3 linked regions of the Drosophila melanogaster genome follow. The protein of the gene in region 2 interacts with the protein of the main gene of each other region in a pairwise test. Each region holds a gene or a part of one and is shown on either strand. Other genes may lie near its edges.

Region 1 (6,083 bases), about 13 Mb from region 2:
ATGGGGTTTCTTTTAAATATCTATATAGAGAGTGCTTCTACCATGGGCAAATCAATCGGTTCTGGCTGTTGAACTTCAGCCGGCGGAATTGCTTCCTTTACTATTTCAATGTCCATGCACAGGGATAGGTTCACAATGGTCACATTGCAAGTGGTCTGTTCGTCGCCACCGCCATTGCTTGATGGACACTTCATTATCAGCATTTTCACGCCCAGATCGAAGGCCACAACCTGGGAAATTGAAAGCATTACATAATCATAAAAATAATAAATAATATTTAGTTTTACCTCGCCCGAAATGTTGTCGCCAAAACAAGTCTTGCAGCGCACAATAGAGCCCACAGTAAAGCAAGGAGCCAATGATGACATCTTGGCCAAGGAACTTAAAAACTTTAAAAATGTAATCGAAATCGAAAATCCCAGCCGATGTCCGATGTCAAGTTCAAGGCACTCTATTCTACTTTCATAGCCTTGTCATTTTGTCGCCAAAAAGTTGGTGGTGCTTGTGGTTTTATTTCTTTTTATTTACAGTGTATGTATGCTAATTTATAATGTACTAAATATAAATGTTGTTGTATATATATATATATATTTCAAAAGTAAACCGTTCCTTTTAATCATATATATATATGCAATTTCGCAGTTTAGCAGTTGCTGTCTAAATTAATTTTCTTTATATCTGCATGAGCGTTTGCTTGTTCTCTGTTGTTCAAGAAATGTTGCTTTGTTTATTTGCATTATAATTATGTATTTATGGTATTGTATATGCGCGTATGTGTATGTACCTTCATTAGCACTATTAGCATACCCTTCAAATTGTTTCTAACGCCAGGCAACAAAACGCTTTCCTCCGCTTTGGCGAGAACTGAGAAAAAGTGCATTGGTTAAATTTTAGGCAACACAAAACTCAAAAGCGTATCAACGAATACGTAATGTATGAATACCGAAATATCTTGCAGGACAGGCACGAACGGATAACAAATCGGACACTTAAACAACGAAACTGTACAATCTTTAAAATGGATCCTGACGATTCTAAAAATGAGATGCACTGTGGATTGATCGGTCGCTGGTCTAATAACTAATGACTGCCAACACAGATCGGGGTTTTCCTTTTTTACTTTTAGCACTTGAATGGTAGCTGCACGGCGACCCTTGAAATATTCGCTTTTAGTATAGTGTTTAGTTAGTTACGGCCTTAATATCCTAATTATGCTCTTCAACGGGGAGACCTTCTTTCGTAAATTTAGCTAGGTTTGCTATTAGTTTTGCTCGAAACGAAGAATTTTTGTATGTAGCTGAACTGCTGGAGAAATGTTCATATGTTCCGTCTGCAAATTGGCTGCTTGTGTTTAGTTTTAAATTTAATATCAAAAGGAATGATATATATGAATAATATATATATATAAAAATAAAACAATGCACTTTCTTCCTTGCTACTGGCCCCGTGCTTTAGCTTTACATTGGCCCATCGATGGCGCTCACTTTAAGGCGGAAATAGTAGGCGGACCTGGCCAGCATGCAACCCGAAATCACGAACAGCGCCACGTAGAGGAAGTACATGCCACCATGATCCTGGAAAAATGCAAAAGGAAACACACATATGGGTTTAGAAAATCACATACTTCAGCTTGATTTTAAATTGATTTGGCTTACCGAAGCAATCGAGTATGTGCCGATAGTTACAGCGATGCCTGTGATGAGGAACACCAGCGCCACGATGGCGAACATCACGGCGCGGCTGTTGGCAAAGCGCGAGCCCACCGATGAGACCTTCCTGCAGTGTGGACACCGGGCCAAGGCGTTGTGATACGTGTTGAACTGTAAGAGCAAGCGTTACAAGACTCCTGCTGCTGTGATTTGGATTAATAACTCACCAAAAACGTGTCCGAACAGTGGCCACAAGTGACGCGGCACATGCCCGGCATGGTTGGCACGGGCGGGGTGACGGGACTTGGGGCCAGGTTGATGATCCTCTTGCAATTGGGCCTTGGACAAGCGATTCGCTGCGACGAGCTCTTGCAGATTAACAAACAGTTGCATGGGCAGCGAACATACTTCTTGCCCGCTGGAGCGTTCCGAATGGGCTGTTGATAGCCAAAAGCGTATTAAGTTACAATTGGATTCAAAGAATCTGCTTAGAATTACTCACAGTAGCCTCATTGCAGTGGGTGCACTTGACCACGTGCTGCTCCCGCTTCGTGGTGATGTCAATCATGTGTTGACATACCCGACAGGTGACCATCGGGACGCCTCCGGTGTTGGTACTCTGCTGATACGGCGGCGGCAGCTCATCGGGTCCAATGCAAGGCACTGCGGTCGGTGCTCCATTGCCTAAAATTCCATTGCAAAGTATTATTAACTACTTATAATATTGTTAAGACCCATGCCCTTCAAAGGCGAGACCTTTGGTGTAGAATAAATACATCTCGCCAGCAGAGTTCGCTCAACCACACTGCTCATCTGGCGGTGATTGGCTCATGGAGGGAGTGAGAACTGCATTTTCTGATAGTGTGCAGTGTGTGGCTCTGGGAAGCTGCGATAAACCAAATGGGTCAATGTTTTGGCGTTATGAATGCAGCTTTCTCGTACAAGCATTAAACTAGTGCAACTAGACCGCAGTTGTGGTTCTCGTCTCTCGATCAAAACAAGTTCGAACTTTGTGAAAGACGTTTTTAAATGAAAACAACGCAAAGAGTAACATCGCACACACTCTTTAGGAAAATTGATATGAAGTGGATAAATTGCAAATAAAGTCATATTACTTTGGCTAAATAAATATATAATGTCAAAAAGAAAGGAATACAGAAAGATAACCTATGCAAATTAATTGGGAACATGGAAAGTCGTAAAGCCCTTGTAACTAAACTCTTGTATATATTAATGATATGGACAAGCTTTTTCCGAGCTGAAGATCAGGTTCCTTGGTAAACAATGGAACCACTGCTCATCGCAGACCCTCATTTTCGCCCTGTATTGCGATAAGGCAGCGAATGACATGATGACTCATGGACTCATTGACTGCCCCCGCTTAACCACCACTATAGCAACACCTCCGAATCGATGCTGATTAAACAGCTGTGGGGAACGCTTTTTGCGCTGATTACGAGCGTCCTAGCATAAACAATAACAAAGGCGGTGCAAAAATTTTGCCGATACCGGCGTCGAGTAACTAACTACAATCGATCTTTACATTTTTGGCAGCTCTTCACAATTTCGTGATAAAATTACATTTTTTTTATGGTGTACGTGGCCCATTTGATATTTAGGCCAATAAGAAAATTTTATATTAGGTTGTAAATTTTTGGTAATACCAATAATACTGGGCCCTATTAAAAAATAAAAAAATGGCAGATAATTTAAAATGGCATTTGGGCACCACATATCCTATCAGTTTTTCTTTCTGTGCAGTCCCATTGCTCTCCCCCCGCACCAAACCACACGCATTTATGACTCAGTTGGGTGAAGTGTGAAAATGCCAAATGAGACGGCGAGCAGACAACTCGGAATCACGGCGTTGGATCCGGATAAGTGGAGCGCCCGCACACTTGTTGGGCTTCCAATGGGTTGCCCGCCCGGCTGATTGGATGCGGGTTGAATGCCCGGCTTTACAGTAACGATACGCACCGTCCTCGTTTGTGGCCACCGATGAGTTGCTGCCGGGATTATCGGCACCCTCGTCCACGGCGTCCACGGAATTGTAGCCATTGCCGTCGTCCTTGTTGATCAGGCTTTGTCGCTCTGGATCCGCCATTGTGGACTATCTTCCGATAAATGGATATTTATATGTGTGGACTATAATCTCTATATGCTGGAGCAATTCCCGTTAGGCTGCACTTCCAGTTGCCTTTGTTTTGTTGTTGCTGTTGCTGCGGGGGCTGCTGCAACGCGTTGATTTCAACTGGAAAATGAGTGGGAAATCCAATAGTTTAGTTGCTGTGCCACATAATTTCGGACGCAACGAGCTCTTTGTTCACGATTGCCGCAGTAGTTTGGTTTTTTTTTTCTTCGTTCGTCGCGGTTTTCACTCGCGTTGATTGAAACACATCCTCCCTTTTTTCACTTTTCGGCATGCGCCGCAATTAATCAATTCGATGATGCTGCATGTGCAACGCCCACGCGAGCTCGATTGTCGCACTCACACAGTTGACATTTGGTTATAATACTGGCAATTGCGTTAATTGTTTAACAATTGCTGGCCATAATTGTGCTATATTTTACCTTATTTTTGTTGAAAATGCACTGCAGTCGCTGCGATCTGGCCACACTCTGGCTAGCTATCTGGCAACGATGTCCCGTTTGAGATTTTTCAGTTGCGGCCCTGCCAGGGAGTTGCCACATCGTTGTACTTGGTAAAGAACCAGAAACAGATCAGCGAAAAATTGTTCATTTTTGGAACCAAAACAATCCAGCGCGGCTTAAAACAAATATGTCTAAAATCACGAAAAACTCCAATAAAATTGACAATAAGGATTCTGTAAGCGGGGAAGGCTCAAATAGTGGGGACGATAACACGTCCACAAGTTCAAGTGACTTTGAAACAAGCAGAAAACACAAACTACGCCGCAAATCCTGTCGAAATGTATCATATCATTATCATGCGCTGCCCATGCGCGTAGTTGGCGAAAATGTTGCAGCACTGCCACAAACTCCCAGCTCCACTCGTGATTTAACACTAAGCTCAGCTCAAATAATTGAAGATAGTTCCGACTCTGAGTTTCATATTTCGGACGATACCAGCAACGATGCGCCGGCCAACAAATCGATAACGTTCACAGCACGTCCATTAGAGAAATATGATTTGGAATATATAAGAAAACTACGTAAACGCAAAAAAAAGCCGAGTAAAACTTTATATGTTGATTAAATTTCAAATAACAACTGTTGACCAGGGCTGGAAACGGCAAATGCCCATCTATTGGCCAACACTGGCAACCCAAGCCAGGGTTGGCTTGTGCGTTTTTGGAGTAGTGGTAAATTTTTACGAGCATAACTATTTACACTGATTTTATGTAAATAAAACAAACAAAACGTAGCAAAATTAAGTGCAAAGTGTAAGTAGTAAATGTGGACAGTCGTGCTGTATAAAATTCTAGGTATAAACACTGGAATTCTACGAAAAAATCACCGATGATTTCATTTCCATGCAGTGCGTTGTTGTATGGGAAACTTCGTCGTAGCTATTTGTTGTTGTTGTTGTTGCTGCTGCTCATCACCATCATCCTCGTTGTTTTCGTTGTTGTTGCCGCAGCAGCTGCGTCACAAAAATGAGTTTTGTTTAATTTGATTTTATTTACATTTGATATGGACAAAACCGACTGCCCTTTTAGGGCATCGAACAAGAACAACAGCAACAGTAACTACAAAATTCAGGGCAAACACCTGTTCCTAATTGATTTTTCACTTTTCTTCGCCGACTTCTAGTCTATTCACCACCCCCAACACACAAAACAAAAAAAAAGTAAAACTACGACTTGAACAACAACTGTGTTTTGGCATTTTAATCACAGCAATTAAAAACAAAGCAGCCAAAAAACACGAATAAATAACCCAAACAGTAATAGACCAACCGTAGTACATAGCATTGTTCAGAAATTAAAAGTTAAATCAATTCGAACGAACGAAATTACAAACCCATTTTGACCGCCGATTAGTACACAAAAACCAGAAAAAGGAGTTAGCAGCTAAGGAAAATTTGCAGAAATGGAGTCGCCCCCGATGTTCAATAGTGTGGAAGATGAGTGCAGATATTGGAAGGAACGATCTAAGCAGTACCACAAAGAGTAAGTGCCCATCCCTATTACAGTCTCCGAAATCAGCCATATAGCCTAGTTTTACTTTTAATTTTCAGGTGGACAGACGTGAAACAGGAGTACGACGAGTTTGTGGAGCAGTCCCGCGAAATGGAAATAGAAATGGACGCCACTCTGGACCAGAAGCAGAGTATAATCAAAGATCTCACAGCCAAACTCACAATGTTTGAGCGGGAAAACGAGTCTCTCAAGGTAGCTATAAGCTAAGCCCGATTTACACAAACTGAGCTTAATTCTTAGACTCAGTTTGCGTATATGTGGCTTTGAGCTC
Region 2 (7,564 bases):
CCGTTGAACGTCGAAATCTCAGGAGCTATAAGAACTAGAAGGTCAAGATTATGCATACAGATTCTAGAAACATAGACACAGAGCCAGTTTGCTTCCACGCCCACAAGTCGGGCAAAACTGTCACGCCCACACTTTTGAAAACTGTTTTGATATTCTTTCATAGTTTTATTAGTCTTGCAAATGTGTATGGTTTTGCAAAAAAACTTTTAAAAAAGTTTTGATATTTTTTCATCTTTTTTAATTATAAATTTTTATCGATTATGCCACACCCACTATCGACCGTAAGCCGCAGAAACCTGTCACGGACACACATTTGAAAAATATGTTATATCTTTTTTTCACATTTTTATTAGTATTGTAAAATTCTATCGATTTGCTACAAAAACTTTATGCCACGCCCACTCTAACGACCACAAACCTCCCATTTCTTCTTGTCCAATATCTATCGATGGTCCTAAAAAATTATGAAATTTCGCGTTCTCACTTCCACTAGCTGAGTAAAAGGTATTTGATATTCGGGGAACTCGTGCGTTCTCTCTTCTTATTTATTTAAAACAAGAGAGAACAATAGTCGATTACTTTCGACTATCAGATACCCGTTACTCAGCGAATTTTGAGATTTTTTTTGTCATTTCGATGGAAATTTACATTTATATAACAAAATGAAATGAAAATCAAATCCCTTTTCACAACTGAGAGCAGGATACCTGGCCAATAAACGGTTTCATGGCGTCTGGATAGGCTTGCGAACGCACTAACTTGCATGCGAACGGACAGGCGGACAGATCAAGATTATATGTATGTGTGTACTCCAGTAAACTTATAATTATTATGTTAGTCTAAAACCTTAATGCGTTGGAGATTTACAATAAATGTATGTACATATGTACATAGTCATGAATTCTTTAAATTCCTCGAAATTGTTCCGATACGGGAATCGACCCCCCTATATTAATTGAAGCTGATATGGCCGAAGTGCAGCGTATTCTGCCAAGAAACGCTATCCAAGTATTTTGGTACGTATGTATGTATGTACATACATGTGTATATGGTACATTCATGTAGTACATACATACATATGTATGCAAGTACGTACGAACGCTCGACAATTCCTCTGCTAAAACCAAATGCGAACGCGTCAACGGATTTTTGTATTACACACATTTTCTGTTGTTTCGTTCTGCGCGTTCTCCCTGTTGTGTGTGTGTGTGTGTGCGACGCCGCTTTTCGCTTGCTTTTACTTTCTGTGGCTTGTGATTGCGATTAAACGGGGTTTCCATCCGGCGAGTCGCGCTCTAGGCAGCGCCCGGAGAGCGCTTTAGACCTATATGTCTGGATCAGATAACGGGAACGGTGGCAGCGAGCCACGGCCGGAGAGAGACAGAGAGCGCAAAGAGCTATAGCTGGCTCTCATGTCGATGTCGAATGCGCGTGATTTTTTGGCTCTGAATGCGGGCTTGCTGCCAACTGCGCTGCCGGCTCGGCGTCGACGACGGCTGAGCGCAGCCCGCTTGCCGCGGTGGTTGTTATTTTCTGGTCTTGGTTTTTAGTTGCCGTTTAAACTTGGTCGTGAGAGGGTAGCAGCCCCGTTATCAGCCGACCGCGATCGCGTCCGAACTAAAGAGTACTGTGGAGCCCTGGCCAGTTCAAGCCTTCAAATCCTCCAGAACATTCTGATGGCGCCCGTGAGCGGCTGTTTGCCCACCGCCACCCACTCGCTGCAGGACATGAGTGCTGCCGCCGCGGCAATCGCTCTTGACATGAAGCCCAAGTTGGAGCCCCACCCCCTGGCCGCCGCAACTGCCATGCCCTCTCAGAAGATAAAGAAATGTGCGTACACAGATTTATTCCCCACATTCATGCAAACATACGTACATACATATGTATATATGTACAATTTTTATGCAAAATGCAGTCGAAAGTCGATACGTCGAACAAGCAGTAGAATTTATTTTATCTCTTCATTGCCTATTCAAATAGTTCGGTTCACCCTATGTGCAATGTACATACATATACGTACATACGTATGTATGTACATTTGGGTTAAAAAAGTTCGACTTATAGAAGTTTTGAGGTGCCTGTACCGTGCTTTCTTAAAATATTCGACTGTCGAGACTCGAGGACTTATATTATTTGCATTCATTTTTGTGTCCCAACAGTGGTTCGGCGCAACGCCTCCGACAAGCTGAAGCTCATCCAAATGGTGCACGACAATCCAATTCTCTGGGACTCCCGTCTCCCGAATTTCAAGGGCGCCGAAGAAGAAAAGAACCGAGCCTGGGAGCACATAGGCCGCGAGTTCAACGCTCCCGGGCGTCGCGTTGCACGGGCCTTCAAGTCCTTGAGGGAATCCTACCGCCGTGAACTCGCCCACGTCAAGCTAATGGGCAATGGCTTCAAGCCCAAGTGGAGTCTCTATGAGGCCATGGATTTCCTGCGCGATGTCATCAGAGAACGAAAGTAAGTATAAGGAATAGTATTTTAGTGAACTGGTGACCAGGTGATTCTCTTAAATTTAAAACCGTCAAGGAAGTTTCATGCCAATATCGACTCCTGGGGTTGACCAGTAATATAGAGCCCGTTATGAATTTTGCATTCTCTGCTTGACCCATTATTGCCACACCACAAATCATGTCACTAAAAATGATCTTCATCCAAATGGCTTTACAAAAGCAAAAGCAATAATAGAACACGAGAGAAGAGCGCTTAAATTTAAAATTTGACAGAAATACGAGTCATTCTTATAATCGAATAGTAAAGTACATGAAATTCTATATCAACGAATAATTATTACAGAACGTATTGCACTTATTTCCAAGTTTTCTTTTAATCTTTCTAGGCAATATTTACCTTTCCCAAAATGATCTTAATTAACGTACTTATTCTTATCCTCTGCTTTTTGGAGATCGATACCAAAACAAATCTAAAAGTGGAACCGTTATTTCTCAAAAGTAATGCTCCCTTACGACTACAGTTCTTCAATAATATCGTCTTACACTCTGAACATTATTTGTGTCAGGAGTACATTTGGCTACTTATATTACAATGAGTTTGATAAGCCGTCACTAACCATACAACCATCGAACAACGGTCAAAGTTTGGCTTGAGTCGTGAATAACAGTTTTCGGTTTAGATTGGTCTTCTGTTTTGGTCATACACGGATTGATTCATGCGAAACAAATACATGCATCAGTTTGAAGACTAGCTAACTTATACACAATAATAATGTGACTCACCTTTCCAACGATCATTTACATTGGTCGAAGGTATTGTATGCTTTCCAGTCCTGTGTCTGAAAGAGGTTTTTCCGAATCTGCCCCCCTAAAAATATGTGTGCTTGTCAGTAGTCAGTCAAGCGAACAATGTTGTTTAGCTTGGCTCAATCAAAAATAATTATTGCAGGAAATTCCAAGAATCTTATCATTTTATGCGAGTAGCCACTTCAGCTTATGTACACTGAGAAGTGTATGAGTTTGTGAGTCATGGCTTAGATCTAATGTTGGACAAAATATGTCAATAAATTTATTTCAAAAATCATAGAATCACGGACTTCGTAAAGATCTGACAATTTAAATAAATTGAGAATTCGGAAATATGTTCAGATCGAATAGACAATACATACAATTGTCACATAAAAAACATGTGATAAGTTTAGCATAAAGTTATTCGAACCGTAACTACGAAATTCCACTTCCATTCGAGCCTTCGTACAAAACTCATCCCTTAGCCCAGTCGATTTGCATAAACGCCCAACAATTCGAGCAAATCTCAGCACCGTGTCTGAGAAAACATCTGCCCAGCGAAAAAGAATAGCAAAAACAAGGCAAGGGGGCATATGGACACTAAGGAGCGGTAATGTGGAAAAAACCAATCCGAACAAAGGAATGACCGGGCCAGAGACCCGCAAATGGTCTCAGTCGAGAGTCTGCCCCGTCCAATGTTCTGGCTCATATGGAGCCGTGCTCGAGCTGCGGGTGTGTGTGTGTGTGTGAGTGTGTGTACTTTATGTACATATTTATATGAAATAAGGCCATTTCCTTTCAATTGACTGTACCCACATGGGCAACAAGCAGTCGACGGCCCCGACACATGCCCGCGCACACTCACCCATGGTGTGTGTATATATTTAAATTTTTATTATTGTGAGCTGATAACAGACAGCTCAACGGGCCCGGCCAGTCGGGCAGCGCTTGAGCCGGAGCTATAGCCGCAGCTATAGCCACAGCCATAGCCATAACACAGATCTCGCCAAGCGGCGAATATTATACAACGTCGCAGCATCGTCGCTGCTTGAACCAAAAACGAAATTGAGGGAAGCTGCAAACGCAAGACCAAGTCCATCGAATAGTGCTTGCGAGAGGGGTGGGGACTATGGGAAGGCGCCGAGAGAGCGATAAATTAATGAGAGCACTACGAAAATGACAATCAGCACCGAAGAATACGGATTGCGAGTGGACCAAGTTGGGAAAGACTGGTAGCTCGTGAGCGAGAAAGGGGCTGGTAAGGGAAAATGAGCGAGGTTCTGCCTGTGTGTGTATGACATGAGCACCGAACACTCGTAAAGATCGCTGTATGGGTGAGCTGAGTAATTGAACGAATAGCTTGGTCTGACTTCGGCCAGGGTTAAAAATATGCCCACGACCATTAGCCAGCCGCATCGGCCGCGTCCCGGCCAAGGGGTTGCTGAGACCCAGAGTCGGGGTCTGGACGCCTCTTTCAGGCTGCCCTGGCCCACATGCTTTCGTCGTTCAGTCCTCTCTTAATGGGGGGCTCTCGTACCCTCACCCTCACACACACGAGGCCACTTGGGTGTGAAAGTTCTGCTGGGCTCTGTCTGTGTCACGCTTATGATTTAATAAGCAAATGTGCTGCGAAATTGCTGAAATTGTTTGGCTGTCCGTCATCCCCACAATCCGAATCTCGCCCCACGCCCTGAAATCACTGTCCGCCGTATTTCGCATTGAAATGCTTTAGCCAATGCGTCACGGAAGAAGAAAAGTGGGCGGTAGTCCGTGCTTGCCTTTTGATTCTCGTACCTTTAAATGCCTTTGCATGGAGCTAGTTCTTGCCTAATAAATCATAATAAAAAGTTCTAGGTCTGCAAAAATCTAAAATCTCATTCGGACCATTGGAATATTTAATTATGTTATTATTATATTAATATTCATAGATTTGTTTCCAAGTGCAGGTGATAGAGATTTTAGAAAACGAATTCAAACCACAAAAACCCATAAACAATCTCGGAAAACGGCTTGGGACCTAAGCAAGAGCGGAAGCAAATAATGATAAGCTGAGCGATTCAAACCCCGAAAAGAAACCAAGTCAAAATAATGAAGTAAATAAAGCCATTCCCGATTGTGGAACATGTGAAAATGTATTTCGACTCGATTAGTCCTGCGAGTTTTTTGGTCTTGGCTGGCGAGCGAGTATCAGTTTTCAAATTTTACAATTGTCAACTACCTGCAGCCGATTGCGGTGATAAGGCTGTCTTCTAGGTCGCCCATGCCCGTGCCTACCACTAGGCCAGGTCTTTGCATTCGGCAAATAACTATAGGTATGGGGGAGGCCCAAAATAGCCACGTTCAGATGTTCTTTGAGCACCCGGCCCAGGCAGCTGCATTGCCTGTGAAAATGCTCTTGAAACTTGAGACGCGTAAGGAGAGAGACAGGAAGCGATACTACACTGAAAGACATTTATGTTTATGCATTTCTTGTGTTATTGCCTTAAACAGACAAGATTTCAAAATGGGGATATGAATCGTTGAGTCACAGGAAACATATGAACTCTATAAGGCTAATACAATTATATTTTTGTGTGTTTTCGAACTCACAATTAATACGAACATGCTTTCCTTATCAGGGTCACTATCCGATCGCAATGTCCGTCGGCATAAAACAAAGCTAATTAGTTGATGACAACCTAGCAAAGTTTTACGAACTTATTGATTTGTCTTTCAGACTATTCTATTTCTAATTTTTTGCCCAACGTTTTGCAAATGATTATTGCCAGCATTATTTAATATTTTTTTATTTATTGTAATTAATATAATTTAAGATAAGAGAAAGAAAATCTGTTATACTATAAATGATGTGTGAGAGACAAAGAAAAGTATTCTTTCTACTTTTAATTTAAGAACGTAGGCGGTTCTTAAAGTGTATTAAAAACAATGTACATAACCACTAGTCACGGTTATATGTTATTGTATTTAATAAATTTATTAATCTTTTTGTATGCCCTTTTAAACAACCTCCTTCATCAAATTTTTATTAGTATTCAACTTAACATCAATACAAAATAAAAAAATACCGCAGACTTGCTGCGAATATGAATATTGAATATGACGCAAAAGTAAAACCCAACCTTAAACCCGTTAAAATGTGAAATAATTTAGTCTTCTAACATATGTTCTTTCTATTATAGGGGCGCTTCGCATGCAACCGATCTAAGCCTGACAACCTATGGCCATATTAACAATAACAACAACAACAACAACAACAGTAACAGCTTGGCTGCAGGGGGAAAGGCAATGACCCTGAAGCTGTCCAATTCCTTTAACGAGTCCGCCTCAGTGTTAAATCTCTCAAAGTGCTCCTCGCTCAATGTAAGCGACGATCACTACTATTGCGACTACTATGTGAAGCCGGAGCTGGATCTCTCGGTGGGCGGTGGGGCCGGAAGTAGCACAAGTGGGAGTAGCTCCGGCGGCGGGCCACTTCCTCTGCCCGCTCACCAGGCTCACAACGACAGTCGGGTGAGCTCAACGAGAAACGAGCAAAGGGCACAGCATCACAGCTATGAAGACATGGACGACAGCTCGATACGCAGCGGGGACGAAGATATCGCCCACGCATCCGACGTAGTGGAGGAGTTGGATGCCATCGATGCAGATTTCCCTTATCCTCTGATTCTGGATTCCAACTCACGCGGTAGCCCCAATGTTGGTGTGGACGATGTGGTCATGTCCCGCAAGCTTCGCCGTAACGTCGATCAAGATGTTTTGGAGGAAGGAAACGGTCACGGCGATGCGGTTATCGATGGTGACGACTACGAAGAACAAATGCTGCAACAGCACCGCCATCTCCGGCAGCAACAGGGCGTCGCAAGCGGAGGGTTGGATCTGCCGCCCCCACAAACTGTACGTGAGGTTTTGAACTCCAAGTTCTGCGGCTTTATTTCAGCCAAGCTAAACAGCATGGAGGACTCGGACGCGGACAATTTAATGAATCGCATTCTTCTCTTACTGGTTCAAGTGCAGCAGTGCGAAGGGTCCACGAAATAGACAGCGGAGGAGAAGAGCGCTAAGTGTACGGGTGTAATTATAGTAGCCAAAAAAAAGTACATAATGGAATGATGTTGCTGCTCAGAGCACTTATAACTGAATTTTCTTGCCATTATATATTACTTTCCTAAAGAAATACAAATTTACTTGCCAATGCCAAATCTGTGCCATACCAAAAGGATCAATCAAATATGAATGATTTTCTAAAACATTCTCTAATTTTTTCGCTCCTATTAACAAAAATGAACCAAACTCAACGAAAAGACAACACAAAGACGTAAACC
Region 3 (7,469 bases), about 15 Mb from region 2:
AAGGCCTCACAAAATGGCCAAGTCATAAAAAACCTTTATCAAACGCTTCGCTGATCCGACAACTTCAATGATGTTTCTCTGTTTCCAGTTGTCTGTGCCCTGAGTTGTTGTTAGATCCCCCCATTTGTTGGGTTGTTTGCTTCGCGTTCGTGTGAACTGAGGAAGGACGACCTTTGGCTAGGCTTCGATTTGAAGATGACACCTTCGACCGGGGTTATACATTTCGTGATGTTATTGGGAATGACTCAGCCGGATGTTTGTTTCTTTACGGGCTCCATCGAATTGATTTCTGCTGTTTCATTTGAAGCCGTAGCTGCAATTTGCCTCTAAACGAGCTTGGCATTTGTTTACTTTATTTTAGTGCTCTGTTGTTTTCGGCAATGAAATTATCATAAATTGTTATTGTTCCATTGGCGTGGGATTGTATGGTGCAAATTTATTAGCTAATGAAACACATAGATTTAGAGAGTTTAAAAACCAAGCTAAAAATTTAGATTGTCCGTACGAATTTCTCTTTCCACTCATAATAAGTACAAAAGCTGTTTATATAGAATTTGTAATTTATTTTTGTATTATCAGACTTGTGCGAGTAAAATGTTATTGAATGGCATCACATATTTTTAAAATTCTTGGAGCTATTAATTGGTTAACCATGGTATCGGCGGTTCATCCCGACATTACGGTCACGTACGCCTCTTGATAATAGCCATATTGGCCAGGTGCAGGATGCGATTGAAATCCACTTTGACGTGGGCACGCCAGAACTTACAGCGTCCCCAGATGACAGCCGGATAGTTCGGGCTCATGATGCCATGAAAGATGCGCGCAATATTACGTCCGGTAAATGTATTGTCCGGGTACATGTTTATTAGAGCATGAACGTCGTCTATGATGTTCTCATCCGGCACGTTACTTGGCTAATGGACAGAGAGGAAAGCAATAAAAGTAAGAAATTGAAATGTGTTGCCAAGCAATTACCTCTATTTCCAGCTCCAGATCCTGTGGGTAGTCATTGGCAAAGTAGTTGCGCACGATAGCCTTTAGCTGCTCGCCCCGATCCTGCGGAAAATCCGCATTGCAGCACTGGCCACAAGAGCTGTAGGCCACAGCAGCCAATCCATGGGCCACATATTGCAGCTGGATGAGCTGCGTACGCTCCTGTTTCACGGATCGCGTATAGAGAGTGTCCAGAGCGTTGTCGATCTCTGATTCGGTAAAATCGCCCGGCACCTTGATGCGGAATCCCAAATCATAGAAGCTCACCGTGATGGGCGATCGCTTGGGATATCCATTTACTATCGAAAAATTAATTTCTAATTAAACGGATCCTTTTTTGAACGGATTACCATCTCACCTTTTACCCACTCCAGATCCTTCAGTTGGTATTTGACCACACCACTGTTCCAGCCAATTCCTGCCGCGATATCTGTGACCGAGAATTCTATGATGTTAGAGTCCTCCTTGAATGTCTTATCTCTAATCTGCAAAGCAATAGCCATGGCCAATGGTGGACATTCCTTTGCAGCATGCCTGTGCAAGGAAAAACCAATAACATTAAACACATACACAATACACGTGTCTAAAGGACTTACTTCAAGTACTTTGGCCCACCATACGAGATTACCTTAGCCATCACATATGCTGAGCTGAGCACACTGATGCACCATCGGGGATCAAGCTCCATGTAGCAGAGCAAAGTAGATATGTTCTCCGCCGGGATGTCCAGCATCTCAACGGTTTTCTCCACGGAAAAGCCAATCTCGTGTCCCGGACACATATGCACTCTAGGACCATCACCTTCAAGGGGAATCGGAAGAGCTGTCCTCTTGGAAGCCTCCTTGTCACAGCTACATGGCACAAAGATCTTTTGCAGCAGCTTACGGATAACATGCCGATCAATGGAGTTAGAATACACATGGCGACGCAGCTCACTCTGGTCGCCACCCTTCGCATCCAAGAAGAGGTGACAGTGGGAAGGCAACCCGTCGCGTCCTGCTCGACCAATTTCCTGCACATAGCTCTCAAAGTTTCTTGGCATATTATAATGGATTACCGCGCGTATGTCCGGCTTATTGATGCCCATACCAAAGGCAATGGTGGCCACCACAATGCGCAGCTCATTGCTCATGAAGGCCTTCTGAACGGTTCGTCGCCTGGAAGCGGGCATTCCAGCGTGATAGGGCTCAGCCTGCCAATTCACACGTTTACGTTTTTTCGTCTGATCCTGAGTTGGCTCCCTACGGTCTTGCACGCACGTTCTAATAAACCCAGCGATACGCTCACACTCGTCACGACGCGTACAATAGATAATAATGGACTGGCAGGGCTCGAAGCTAGAATGATCAAAATGTATTTAAGTCTCCTTCAAGTTTCAAAGATGGTGGGCCAAGTCTTACCGTTCGCTATTGAGCAGTTGGAGCAGAGCTGCATCCCGGTTCTCATCCTTGGAGACGGACAGCACTAGATTGTCAGGCAGTGGGATGTCGCTTATAATACCACGTTCTCCATCCGATATGCCAAGGTGATTTATAATGCTAACACGCGTTGGCAAAGTTGCCGTGGCTGTTAGCCCCAGCACTGTGCGTACACCGAGATTCTTTCTCAGCACCTTGCAGATCATTAGGTAGCTGGGTCGAAAGTTGTGACTCCACTGAGACACGCAATGCGCCTCATCAATACAAGCGAATGCAATGGGCGGCAGCTGGCGAAGAATGGCTCCAAATCCTGTGGCTCGTTCCCCGGCGACAACCGCCTCCGGAGAGACAAGAAGAATGTCAATCTCCCCATTGGCAATCATCTGCTGAATCTTCATACGCTGCGGCGCGGTCTGATTAGTGTGCAGGCAGTGAGCTCGCAGAAAGTGCGGCACCCCGGTCACCTGATCCTCCATAAGTGACACCAATGGTGAGATGACTAGGGTAATAGCTCCCACTTTCCGGCTATACAAATAGGCGGGCAATTGGTAGCACAAAGATTTGCCGCTGCCCGTGCTAAGTGTAACTAGCGATGATAGTCCAGAGAGAGTGCGCATGATGGCGCGATCTTGACCTTTCCTGAAGTTGGTGTGCCCGAACATGTGGAGTGCCTCTAGGACCTCTGGCGTCGTGTCCTGGACACTGCCATCCGGAAGGAGATCGTATAGGGGCTTCACCCCACCGTGCTGGCTGCGATTCGAACTAGAGGCTGTGGTGTCCAGTCCAGCCTGCTTGAGGAACTCCTCGGGAATCTTGTGGCCGACGTATGTCTTAATAGGTGAAGCTGCTTTCTCTTGCGAAACCGGTTGGCTTAGGGAAGCTTCGACGGCCGCATCTAGGGCCTCGAAATCAACGTCCATTTCATCGCTAGACCAATTTGGATCTGGATGCTGCTGTACCTCCTCATCTCCGCTGCTTTCTTGGTCATCTTCCTCTGACTCGTTCAACTCATCGCCTTGCAGGATGGCTGCATTGGCCGCTTGGGGCAGCCGTGAGATGTTGCGACTGTGTGCCACCACTGCTCCCTGACTGGCCATCTCCTGAGCCTCGGCAAGCGTGGGAAACGGCGAGGGATCCTCTTCCAGCTGTGCCGAAAGTGGCAACAAGCTGTCTCCCTTCACCTTGCACTGCTGAGCGAAATGCCCGACTCCGCCGCACTGGAAGCACGTGAGCACTCCGCCATCACAGCCACCCATATCCATGTCCGGCCCACTCAAGGCAGCCACTCGTTTCTTATGCCGCCACTGTTGCTTCTTGTACTTGCTGAAGTTCACGGACTTTTTGCCACGCACGAATTTTTTCTTTTGAATATTTATGGTCACAAAGTTCTCGTTTAATTTACCAGCTGCTATGCGTTCCTCCAGCTTCTTTCGTGCTGCGGCTCTCTTTTCATCCACTCGAATGTTGGACCCTTCCGACAATCCTGGGTTGGGTCCAGCGGCGAAGGTTCTAATATAGCGCTGGGCGGTAGCATCCGCTTCTTCTAGATCCTGCACATTAATGCGCGGAACGGAGGTAATATCTCCCGCCTCCAAGGCCAACACGTATTTCAAATCTTCTGGATTCAATGGTTGGCGCTCATCCTCTTCTGGATCAGGAGCCGGCTCGACAGCGATGGCTTTTTTAGAGTTCCTCGGCTTTTTCTCCGCCTTGGGTTTCTTTTCGGCCTTGACTTTGGCTTTCTTTTCTGTTTTCGGTTTTGGTTCCGCTTTGGGCTTAGTGGTCTTTTGTTTTCCGGCGGCTTGCTTGCGCTTTGCCTTATCTTTCTTTTTATTCTCTGGTACATATGTAGCATCCTGGTCTTCATCTGCAGAGAAATCTGGATTCTCTTGAGCAAATGTTTCTGTCTCTGGTTCGACTTTGTTGGGAATTTCAACTGGGGCGGCTACTTCCACTTTTCCTGATGCTGTTGAAACAATTTTGCGACGTTTTGATAGTTGCCGATATTCTTGTGGTTCCTGCTCTTCTTCACTCTCAGCCACAACAGAGTCGGAATCCGAATCGGTTTCCTGCTCGGAAGGTGGAGGTTTATTTTTAGGAGCGACTGATTTTTGACTGGATGCAGGAGGTGTGTGATTAAGATGATCTGGTTTCTGGTTCATGCTAGAATTCATATCTGTTTGCAGCTCCTGTATGATTGCCATTTGATCGGGCTTGGCCTGCAACACTTTTTCCTCCTTAACAGTGGGCTTTAGTTTACTTAAATCAAGATTGGCCAGGCCAAAGTTTGTTTTCTTGGACGTACCACTGTTATTATTTGCTTCCGCAAAGGGCACTTCTTCATCAAGAGTGTTTTCCTTTGTATTTCGCCGGAGCCAGCCGTCGTCCACCAGTGTTTTGATACTTTCCTTGCTGTGCTCACTGGCCAGCATTGGATTGTTAGCTATGGCCTGCTGCTTCTCCTTGTACTCCTGGGCTTTGCGTATGAGTATGGTCTCAAAGTCGAGCAGTTCCTCGTGATGATCAGTAGGAACTGAGCTAAGTGATGTGGTGGAACTAGAGGAACTGACACAACGTGAAAGCGGCTTTCGGGGATTTCGTTTAGCAAAACCGCGTGAGGATTGGAATAACTTGGCACTCAAGCTGGGCTTAAGACTAGCGCCCGCTTTGGGTTGCTTTCCGTGCCCCGGAGCGGATTTGGAGGCCTCTACAGGCTGTGGTGGAGCTGGTGGCTTCTTACTCACATTCAAGCCCCAGGCATTTTGGTTGATTGGCAGCTCCTCCACCGCCTCGAATTTGCGAATGACATGGTTTTCATCGCGATTGACCAGATTGGTGAGTACTTGACGATTGGGCAGGTCGATGAGATTTGAGAATGAGCCCTCCACCGATTGTGGAATTTCCTCAAGATTACCAGAGCTCTGCGGCCCCACCAGTGCAGATATATCCAACGGTAGCTGAGGACCTTCATTAAGACTGACGTCCTGGTCCAGCATGCTCACACCGAAATCACTGGCCTGCGACATCTCCAGAATATCGTATCCATCTTCGCTGAGAACATCGTTCAGCGTCTCTTCCAGGAAGGATGTCTTCAGTTTGTAGTACATTTTGTATGAGTCCCGAATCTCCTGACTGGCGTCCCTTATATCATACTGCAACAGGTCAACCAGTTAGCATACTTGTCATATCCGCATCCCAATCTCACCTTCGATGGAACACGGCCATTCTTCTTCTTGAAGTCCTTCTCCCACACCTTGACGCGCAACTTGTACTTTTGGTATTTTAGCTTGAACACCGAATCGTCCATGTCGGCGGCTGTCTTTAATTGTCAATATTATGAGGAAACCAACATTGGAATCAGATTTCGTTAACTAATAAACCAACACAAGTGCAGCTGTTTTGCTTAGCGCGCGCTTTTTCACCGACCTTGCCAGACCAATGGCCATGTGACAGAGTGGCCAGACTATCACATGCTGGGACAGTGGGCAAAAATACAATAATCTGCTTAAAAAAAATAAAAACTTGTCATCTTTAAAAGAGCAGCAAAATAATTTATTGTCAATTATAGGCAATAAAGGTCCAAGTAAACGTTACATTTTTATTGATATTGCTGCGCATTTTATACAATTTGTGTTCGTTCTTGTAGTAAAAAATATCGAAGCTTGGCCGTTGCAAAATGCAATTTTCACAATGATGCTATTTAGGTGTATGCTCGCAAAGGGCTTTCCTCGCTGGAATAACTGAAGATTACAGGTAATAGCTACGTAAATAGGAGCAAAGCAAAGCAGCCGCACGGCACTTCCAGCAGGGTGAAGAAAGCGGAGGAGGGGAGCTGTGAAAGGCAGGGCGAGAATGTGAGCTTAGGTGACAAGGTGACTACATGAGTATCAGAGCAATCTCCTCCGGCTGCATCGATGGACAGCGCCAATTGTAGAGGTAGTACTGCAGGTTTCCATCCCCGGCGCCGAATTTTAGCGGTGCAAAGTACTTCTTGTTCTCCATGAGGTCGAGGGCATTGTACACGTCCATCTGGACATTGCGGGCCGAGATCAGTGCATCGTTCATCAGGTCCAGCCACGGGGTCTTTGTAGACACATTATAGAACGAATATGCGGCACGAACCGTCTTATGCACCGGATGGTGCATCACGGACGATGGCAGGCAGTAGTAGCTAGTCAGATCAGTGATGTTGCCCTTTTCGTCGGCAACCACGAAGCAATCGATAATACCTTCTTTGGGGGTAAACCAATGACGAAACTCTTCCTTGCTGAACACCGGGCTCAGCTGAAAGCGCTTTAGGTAGTCCTCCAGCAGCTTGTGGGCCTTGTCCATGTCCTTCGCTGTGATTCGGCGATAGCCCTTCGTCTTGGGCTGATCGGGTAGCTTGTACAGCTTCATTGTCCGCTGCATGGTCATGTTACGTGCGAGATGAGAGAAACGCACGTCTACCAGCTTCTTGGGATTGAGCGATCGATGCCAATAGCGACAGGTGGCCACTGGCGTGGGCAACACAACTCCAGCTGTATAGGCCGCCTGGAAAATCCCCGTCAGATTGACGCGACGCGTTATCTCCCGAATCAGGACTGGAGCCACCCGTTTGCTGCGCAACTTCTTGTGGACGCATAGGAAGTTGATGTCCACAACCTTTAGCACCTTGTCGTACGACTTCAGCTTGCTGGGAATGGCTGAGATGAAGCCAACCAGTTTGCCGGACTTCTCCACACGAACGCCAACATGCCAATCGCGTTTCCAGCCAGGTGGCTGCAGCGACCACTTTAGAAACTCGGGTTGGTAATCGAAACGGAACATGGCATCATCGTCCTCCACATAGTTCTCATTGAGCAGCGTGTACAGCTCCTTGAGATCATTGGCGTCGTTCAGGTCTAGTGTCACCCATTTGAAGCCGCCTGGCAGAGTGTATGGCAATGCTCTAATCTCACTAATTTCCTTGTTCGGTTCAATGCATTCGTTGGTGGTCACCTGCTCGTCCAGCTTGGTGACTGGCTGTGTGGACCAAAATGCAAACTTCTTGGCCATCTGACGGGTGCTGGCCAT

What was found.
Region 1: the proteins of Mes2 (region 2) and CG6707 interact in a two-hybrid assay, tested with the Drosophila melanogaster proteins (one large-scale study listed by BioGRID).
Region 3: the proteins of Mes2 (region 2) and RecQ4 interact in a two-hybrid assay, tested with the Drosophila melanogaster proteins (one large-scale study listed by BioGRID).

Annotation. Positions count from the first base shown.
Region 1 is NT_037436.4:9,894,303-9,900,385, forward strand, and holds CG6707 (uncharacterized protein), read right to left. Parts: upstream 4,274-6,083; 5' UTR 4,221-4,273; intron 4,135-4,220; exon of another isoform or gene 3,901-4,134; 5' UTR 3,754-3,900; coding exon 3,627-3,753; intron 2,445-3,626; exon of another isoform or gene 2,428-2,444; coding exon of another isoform or gene 2,406-2,427; intron 2,334-2,405; coding exon 2,152-2,333; intron 2,087-2,151; coding exon 1,877-2,086; intron 1,821-1,876; coding exon 1,656-1,820; intron 1,575-1,655; coding exon 1,458-1,574; 3' UTR 505-1,457; downstream 1-504. Other genes in the region: Hez (hezron), read right to left, coding at 42-230, 288-368; CG46387 (uncharacterized protein), read left to right, coding at 4,429-4,866; nudE, read left to right, coding at 5,703-5,782, 5,851-6,004.
Region 2 is NT_037436.4:22,944,111-22,951,674, forward strand, and holds the start of Mes2 (Mesoderm-expressed 2), read left to right. Parts: upstream 1-1,546; 5' UTR 1,547-1,676; coding exon 1,677-1,830; intron 1,831-1,884; exon of another isoform or gene 1,885-2,074; intron 2,075-2,159; coding exon 2,160-2,460; intron 2,461-6,421; coding exon 6,422-7,280; 3' UTR 7,281-7,564.
Region 3 is NT_037436.4:8,170,136-8,177,604, forward strand, and holds RecQ4 (RecQ4 helicase), read right to left. Parts: upstream 5,844-7,469; 5' UTR 5,722-5,843; coding exon 5,620-5,721; intron 5,567-5,619; coding exon 2,397-5,566; intron 2,334-2,396; coding exon 1,593-2,333; intron 1,531-1,592; coding exon 1,355-1,530; intron 1,296-1,354; coding exon 979-1,295; intron 918-978; coding exon 684-917; 3' UTR 505-683; downstream 1-504. Other genes in the region: Nmt (N-myristoyl transferase), read right to left, coding at 6,291-7,469.